Linked DNA regions of Oryzias latipes. The protein of the gene in region 2 purifies or fractionates together with the protein of the main gene of each other region. This does not show direct contact. Links are inferred from orthologs where the notes say so. Each region holds a gene or a part of one and is shown on either strand. Other genes may lie near its edges. The genes, in order: aqr and xab2.

Evidence for each region.
Region 1: the proteins of xab2 (region 2) and aqr fractionate together in Homo sapiens (co-fractionation; 3 studies listed by BioGRID and IntAct, with this or other methods). This does not show direct contact. The link is inferred for Oryzias latipes from reciprocal best matches to the Homo sapiens genes XAB2 and AQR.

Annotation. Positions count from the first base shown.
Region 1 is NC_019880.2:7,476,784-7,480,610, forward strand, and holds part of aqr (intron-binding protein aquarius), read left to right. Parts: intron 1-138; coding exon 139-207; intron 208-384; coding exon 385-485; intron 486-588; coding exon 589-665; intron 666-1,619; coding exon 1,620-1,684; intron 1,685-3,441; coding exon 3,442-3,558; intron 3,559-3,637; coding exon 3,638-3,751; intron 3,752-3,827.
Region 2 is NC_019866.2:8,751,841-8,755,300, forward strand, and holds part of xab2 (pre-mRNA-splicing factor SYF1), read right to left. Parts: coding exon 3,371-3,460; intron 3,021-3,370; coding exon 2,889-3,020; intron 572-2,888; coding exon 440-571; intron 307-439; coding exon 193-306; intron 45-192; coding exon 1-44. UniProt on the Homo sapiens protein: Involved in pre-mRNA splicing as component of the spliceosome. Involved in transcription-coupled repair (TCR), transcription and pre-mRNA splicing.

The DNA.
Region 1 (3,827 bases), on a different chromosome or scaffold from region 2:
TGATTGTATGCCATAAAAGCTTGTAAATAATTTAGTTCAGACTTTTATTAGGGGCTGAGGTGCATTAAAATTTGTCACATGCTGTGCTTTTGGAAAAATCCCATGACTGCATTTCATCTTTCTTCTTGTTCTATGCAGGAGGTTGATTTGATCAGAGAACAGGTACAGCAGCTCGTCTCCCTGCCAATGTGGATGTGCCTCTTACCAGTAAGCTCACATTTTCTAGTTACCGCCCTATGTTCTGGTTGTCATTCCACATCCCAATCTTGTGTTCTTTCAAATAATATTGTCTTGTGTGTATTTATTGTTTAACACTGACTTCTTCCCTGTTTACTAATTCTCCAAAAAATTGGATTCTTACATTTTTTTGCATCATATTTGCAGTCTAGGCTGCAGCAGGAGCTGAAAAAAGTCCCAAAGCTGCAAAAGTTCTGGAATCTAATCAAGAAGAAATTTGACCAGATGGATGCTGATGCGGCTAAGCAGTAAGCCTGTTTTTTGGGTGTTTTGAATCAAATCTACGCCAATTTAAGTTTGCTCTTTATTGTTTGTATTTTGATAATTCTGATTTTTTTGTATCTTCTCCAGGGCAATCAAAGAAAGGACCTTTCTCTCAGCTCTCATTAAAAAGTTTCTCGGCGTTCTCATGTCAGTTCCACCAACAGGTAAATAAATGTGTTTGGTTTGGGGGGGAAAAAGCATAAATGCACAAATGGAAGATGGAAAATTAAATAAAAAAGTCCTTGGAAAATATTAGTTCAGCACTTCAATTCAGATTTAGGTGTTTATGTGATTTTTTCAGCTTTATTCCTGTATTTACCATTACCTTGATATCCAAACTAAATGTAGTATTGCATTCCAAAAACTCACACAACTGGGTGTATGCACTTTTTTTCTGCACTGGGGTACTGGTGAGGGAAACATTTTGGCAGTTTAATCCCCCAATCCAACCAACTAATGCTGAGTTAATGCTTAAGGTGGGATTGAGTCCCATTGTTACCATCTTTGATATGGCATGACCGGGAACTCAAACCCTCGATCTTCTAGCCTTCGGGCAGACACTTTACCTCCAGGCCACTCAGCTAATGTCTACTTTTTCTTATAATTTTGTCGCCTTGCTTTGAGTCGTGCAGCAGCTTAAGAAACATGCACTCCAGCTTCTATACAGTTAAATGCGCTGGCCGTGATGCCGTGATACAGGCCGACACACGAGTCCCCCCCATCAGAATGCTAAAAACTGAGTGTTTAGATAAAATTCAACCTGACACTCTTGATTACAAGCAAAAACCCAGCAGGGTCAGCATCACTCTATTGGCTTGCTGTATGTCTCCACGTTAAGTGCGCACACACAGAGACACACAGAGAGGAACAGGAATGCTTAATGAGGGCTGAGCTCCCAGCATGCTGCTGAGCTGGCCGTGCAGCCTCTCATTGTGAGAGCTCATCCACTTAGCAAGGCAGGTTGGTGTTTTCTTCATGTTTGCTGGCTTCAGATTTTTTGGAAATGTTACCATCTAGCTTCCTGACATTTTGGGACAGTCTATTACTCATGTTTCGCACTTTAAATGAACAACATTGTGTATCTGAAGTAAAATCTTTTTCATGTCTGTTTACCACAGGGCCTCTGTCAATGGACAAAGTCCATTATTGTGAAAGATTCATTGAGCTCATAATTGATTTGGAGGTAAGACAGATTTTTAATTTGAACTTTACATCCCACTCTTGGTTTTCACTCAACTAAAGTTTATATGTAAAAACTGAGATCATGTCCACTGACATTATGTCTAGAATCAGTCATGAACAAAGTAATACGTCATTACTATGGTGTTAGTACAGGTGTTTTAGAATTTAATCATCGTTTACCTTTTAATTTCACTCTAATCAAATTTTTGTCACAGGGTGTTTGATAAATGTCAAATTCCAGCTCCTACTGAGGGCAATGTCTGGGGAAATGGGCTTTGGTTTATTGCCTAGTTCTATTTAGAAATAAAAGTTAATTAATTCAAGTTTTAGTTTGAATTCATATTAGCAAGAATATAAGATAATCATTTATTTTGAAAGATTTTTTTAGCTCCTAGCCATTCCCCTAAAAAGATCTACAGTCAGAAAGGCGCAAAATGTTCTGATGGTGAGTTCTTTTCTGTCAAATCAAACTTTTGTTTCTGACCAACGACTGTCAATGAAAGAAAACATGAAACATAACCCATTGGGTATGAAGTCAGTCTTTGGTTTTGTCACCATTTTGGGAGGATATATCTCAGTAAAACACAACCTTTCCTCTAATCGGTGACTAAATGGGAGAACCAAGCCAAAAGGCTATTGGAGCACACCAAGAACGACTGTTGTAAAGAGATATTATCCATGTTTGATTGTGTTTTGAATGTGAAAATGATACCAAATGATTAGCCTATGACAAATTTGCCCCTATTAAAGTTTACATCTATGTTAAACCTATCCATAGAGATAAAAAAACAATAATGGTGCAAGACTGTTAGTCATTAAGAGTGAATGAGAACTGACCTACTGGTTCAAAACCTCCTATAGGGATTAGTTACTCCACCAGGATGAAGTTAGTTTATGTTTTATATCTGCCTCAAACAGGAAGTTATGGGGATACGTCATTTTTAGGTTAGTGATTGTTGTGTGTATCTTTTTAATTTGTTGGAAATGAATAATTGTAGATATCAGTGTTTTACATTTAGCAAAATCGTGCCGACAGTCTTAAAATAAAGATATAAAGTTGTGTTAAAAAAAGACGGGAATGGAGAACAGTCAAGCCTTCAAATGAGGTTGTTGTGAAGACATGTTGTGCCACAAGACGATCATTTCTGCTGCCTTAGCAGATCAAATCTGTCTAACACAGACGCTCAATAGATTTCATCTGGCTCTTTGCTGACAGGTTAGCCTTGCAGTTCCTGCCAGCAGCTTGTGGTCAGCTAGCCTACTGTCTCCAGAGACTTTTCATGTCCTTCAGCACTATCCTTTCACAAAGCCTCAATCGCAAGAAATCCATACTTCCCATTCTGACGAGAATCTAAATATGATTGCAGGGAAAAGGATCCTATTCCGTCCGAAGGGTTACACTCAAAGGTGGCTTATAGATATTGAATTATTTGATTTATAGTTAGGGATGCAGGCGCTGCAGCTGCTGTCTTTAAAAGGCAGTTTTGAATCATGAAGCTGAAATGTATATCTTTCGGTTGGGAATCTGGCTGATTCTTTTTAAATTTACTATGATGTGCTGTGTTTTCCTCTCATAAATGGGGTTGACTTGCTGAAAAACTTGGTAATTGTTAAGTCAGTTGCTTTGTTTTACCCTTCCTGTTTAAAATGTTGGTGAAAATGCAATTAATTAGTTTTTTAAATGGCTTTCTTTCTTACAAAAGCATTCGTTCATGTCTGCTCAAAAGTACAAATGCTATGGCCTCCCTGTGTTTCCAGGCGCTGCTGCCCACCAGACGATGGTTCAACACAATGCTGGACGACTCTCATCTTGTGGTCAGCTGCCAACTCTCTGGCCTCCTTAAAAGAGAAACGGAGGGCCACCTCTTTTGTCAGGTAAAACAAGCTTTTAGTGACTTTGAAAACCTGTTTTCTCCGTGAAGAAATCCTAATTGGTGTTATTTGTTCTTTTCAGCTTCTCGACATGCTAAAGTTTTACTCTGGTTTTGAGATCAATGATCAGACAGGAAATGCTCTTACGCAGAAAGAAATGACCACGTTGCACTATGACAAGATCACTTCTCTGCAGGTAAACAGCGACTTAATCAGAGATCAGCAGAGTTTCTATCAGCCCTCTGTTAGCTGTGGGCTTTTTTTTTGGACAT
Region 2 (3,460 bases):
TACACATTTGGCCACTTAAAAAGTGCGATTCCTCGCTCGTATGCCTGAAAAGCATTAAAAGAAATGTTTCAGAAAACCGCAAACACCTGTATTTCTTCCCAGGTATAGAAAATTATCAAAGGGATACAAAACAAGAACTGGTACAATTTACCAGCCAACCAGAATGAACAATATCTATTTGCAGACTCTTACTTTGAAGCTTTCCTCAAAGTAATTGTGCTCTTCCAGGAACATGGCATAGTTGATGATGATTTGCGGAGTGGCGATGCGGAGATCAATAATGCGATCATATACTGCTTTTGTAGACTGTGGGAGGGATTGTAAAAAAAGCCAAAGAGGAGTTAGACAGCCAGATCTAGGTACACACTTAGCAATTAAACTGTACTAGACACTTTTGGATTTTAGAATATATTTTTCTCAAAACATACAATGAACAAACCTGGAAGGTGCCGAGACTTTCCTCCAGGTCTGCCAGCATAGACCAAACCTTCAGGGACTTATAGACTCGGTTTTGGACCGGCTCAGATGAATCAAAATACTCTGCCTTCTTTGATGGGATGGCTGTGGCTTTCTACAAATATTCAGACATTTTAAATGCAATAGAAAAAATAAAAAATCCGTGGGGCCACTAATGCATATTTTTGGAGTTAACTTTTTCCAAATTCTGTTCAAGACATAAAAAATGTGTAATTTGTGAGGAAACATTCCCCAATAACTAAATAAAAAAAAACAATATCTCTTTTGAGTAATAAATTCTAGTATTTAAAACTTTAAACTATTTAATTGACCAAACATCAAGAAAAGCTTTCCGTGATGACATTACTTGAAATAAACAAAAAAAAAAAAGGAACATGGGATGACCCCACCCTTACATAGATGTGTTCTCCCTACCATGACAAAGGTGGATAAAGGTGGAAAGATTTCATGAAATCCATGGACACCAGTGAAGATAACAAATCAATGAAAAAAAAAGCTTCAGCGCACTGTCTACGGGGTCTAGATGACCCAACTCCCAATGCTAAAGTGCCTAGGATAGCACAAGGGTTACCCAACTACAAAGCTGTGTCATGCAGTTCTCAACTCTGCCACTAGATGGTGCAAAACGTATGGTTATAACGTGCTTGTAGCAACACCGTTCATTGTCATTGATGCTCTGTTTCATAGCAGTGAAAATTTTTTTGCAAGAGTATAATTCACTTGTATCTATTGTTCAGATTCGGGCTGCACGATGTGAGGAAAACACATGACATGCAATATTAGTGATCAATATTGTGATGACGATATAACTTGCGGTACATGAACAAATAGCAAAACAACCAAAATTATCATTTCATTTTCACTGCAACTGTTTAATTTAAATCAGAGTAAACATAACTTAAATTATACCCCAAATGACCCTTGTCTACATAGAAGGCGAACATCTAACATAAAATAGCTCCATCTGATTCAGGGGTCGGGAACCTTTTTGGCCAAGAGAGCCATAAATGCCACATATTTTGAAATTTAATTTCGAAAGAGCCATACAATAATGTAGTGTCCTTTCCCCACACTGAGGCACGGAGACTTAACCTCTTTTAAAGTTCTTTATTCCGATTACTGCAGACCGCAACAAACGCCCTTCAATTAATTCAGCAACTCCTGAATCTCTCCCACCGAGACGAGAGCGCTTCTCCCAACTTTATATTCCCCTGCTCCCGCTGCAGCCCTCCCATTTCCCTTATTCGGCCCATAGCTGAACCCCATTGGTCCAAACTACCTAACAACAGGCTGAGCGACAGAACTGAGAGCCAATCAGATCTCTGCTTGACGCGTTCAATGAACTCCAGAACTTTTAACGCGGCCCAACAGCCATCCAACTCAGTCCGCGACAATTTGTTTAAAACTAAATATACAAATGAATGTGTGCATTTGATTTAATTTTAACATTTTTAAAGTAAAATAAGTCTGTGGATTCTTTTTAATAACATTGTTATTCTGTTGCTAATAAATGATGAGTATTTCTCGTGGTAGTTTTGCTGATGGTCTAGTCTGGTTGATACGTGGTGAGTTTCTGCTTCGTTCAGGCGTTGAGACTTTAAACGTCATCGTAGGTCTGAATGTTCTATAGATGTGAGACAGACTGCTCACATGCAGACGGGGAGTCAAACACACACTCACACGCTGCAGTGAGTGACGGGAAGCGGGTTTTACGTTTTTACAATCCCTGCGCGATTCACCTGCTGCCTGTCCCCACAACACCTCAGCCCCACCCTCTGCTTTCTCCCTCACACATCCCGTCCCCGCATCTGCGCGCTCTTTCTCAGAGACGGGAGCGCGCAGTTTTAGGCACGTCAATTCACAGGTTTCCAGCTGGTACAAACTCTGTGAAATAATAGATAATAGTAACTGATAGCGCTGGCGCAGATTTGTCTCTCTAAGCACCGCTACTACTGCGCGCCTCTGACATCGCATCGCGCCCGAGAAGGACTGGTCTAATGAAAAAAAAAAACTATAATTAAAGATTTGTCTGCGAGCCACATGTGACCATCAAAAGAGCCATATATGGCTCGCGAGCCATAGGTTCCCGACCCCTGATCTGATTGGTCAAAAACCTGAAGGCGTCCATCTGATTGGTCAAATGGATAAATAGATCTATTTGATTTGTTAAATACTTCACGATGTCATAAGATCGTTTTAGCACATTTAAGGTAACCATTTATTGCAATTTTCGCCACCATTTGCAATATGCGTATTAAACAGCTTGATATTCCGATAATGGTAAATTTGCGTTTTCTTGTGCAGGCCTAGTTCAGAGACACTAACGTTTTTTTTTTCATAAATAAGGAACTTGAGAGATTATGCAAACTAAACGTTAAACAAGCATGTTTCTTGTGATACGAGTGTCTTACCCTCAGTATGCGGAGTGCCTGATCATAGTTTTCGTGACGAAGTTCCATCTCGCCGTATTCACACCAAACTGCAGCAAGGTCATCCACCTGCTTGAAGTTCACTTTGGTAGCCTTCTCAAAAATTGTTCTTGCCTAAAATTAGTAAGCACACAGTACAGCAGAGATAAGTGCAAACTCTATCCACCATGAAGTTTGAAATCTGTTTCAAGTAAAACCCATTTGATTCTTACAGTAAATGTTTTACAAAAGAAAATATAATTTGGTAATCCCTGTGTGCTGAAGACAGAGTAATCTGCAGTGCATCAATGTCACTGCATCAATATCACCAAGCATTAGCAGATTTTAAAACCTTAGTTTATGTATAATCTTTGTACATAATGTTCATTAAAACCAACATTTGAGACCCAGTTAGCAGATAACCTAAAGAAAGTTTAAAACTGCTTTCAAACTGACTGGAGAAGAAAGAACTCTCAGTGACTTACATCATCCAGCTGCTCATTCTCCTCATAGAATTTGGCAAAACACACCCAGAGCGAGTGTGGCTTTCCAGTGGCTTTCATTGGATCCACAGT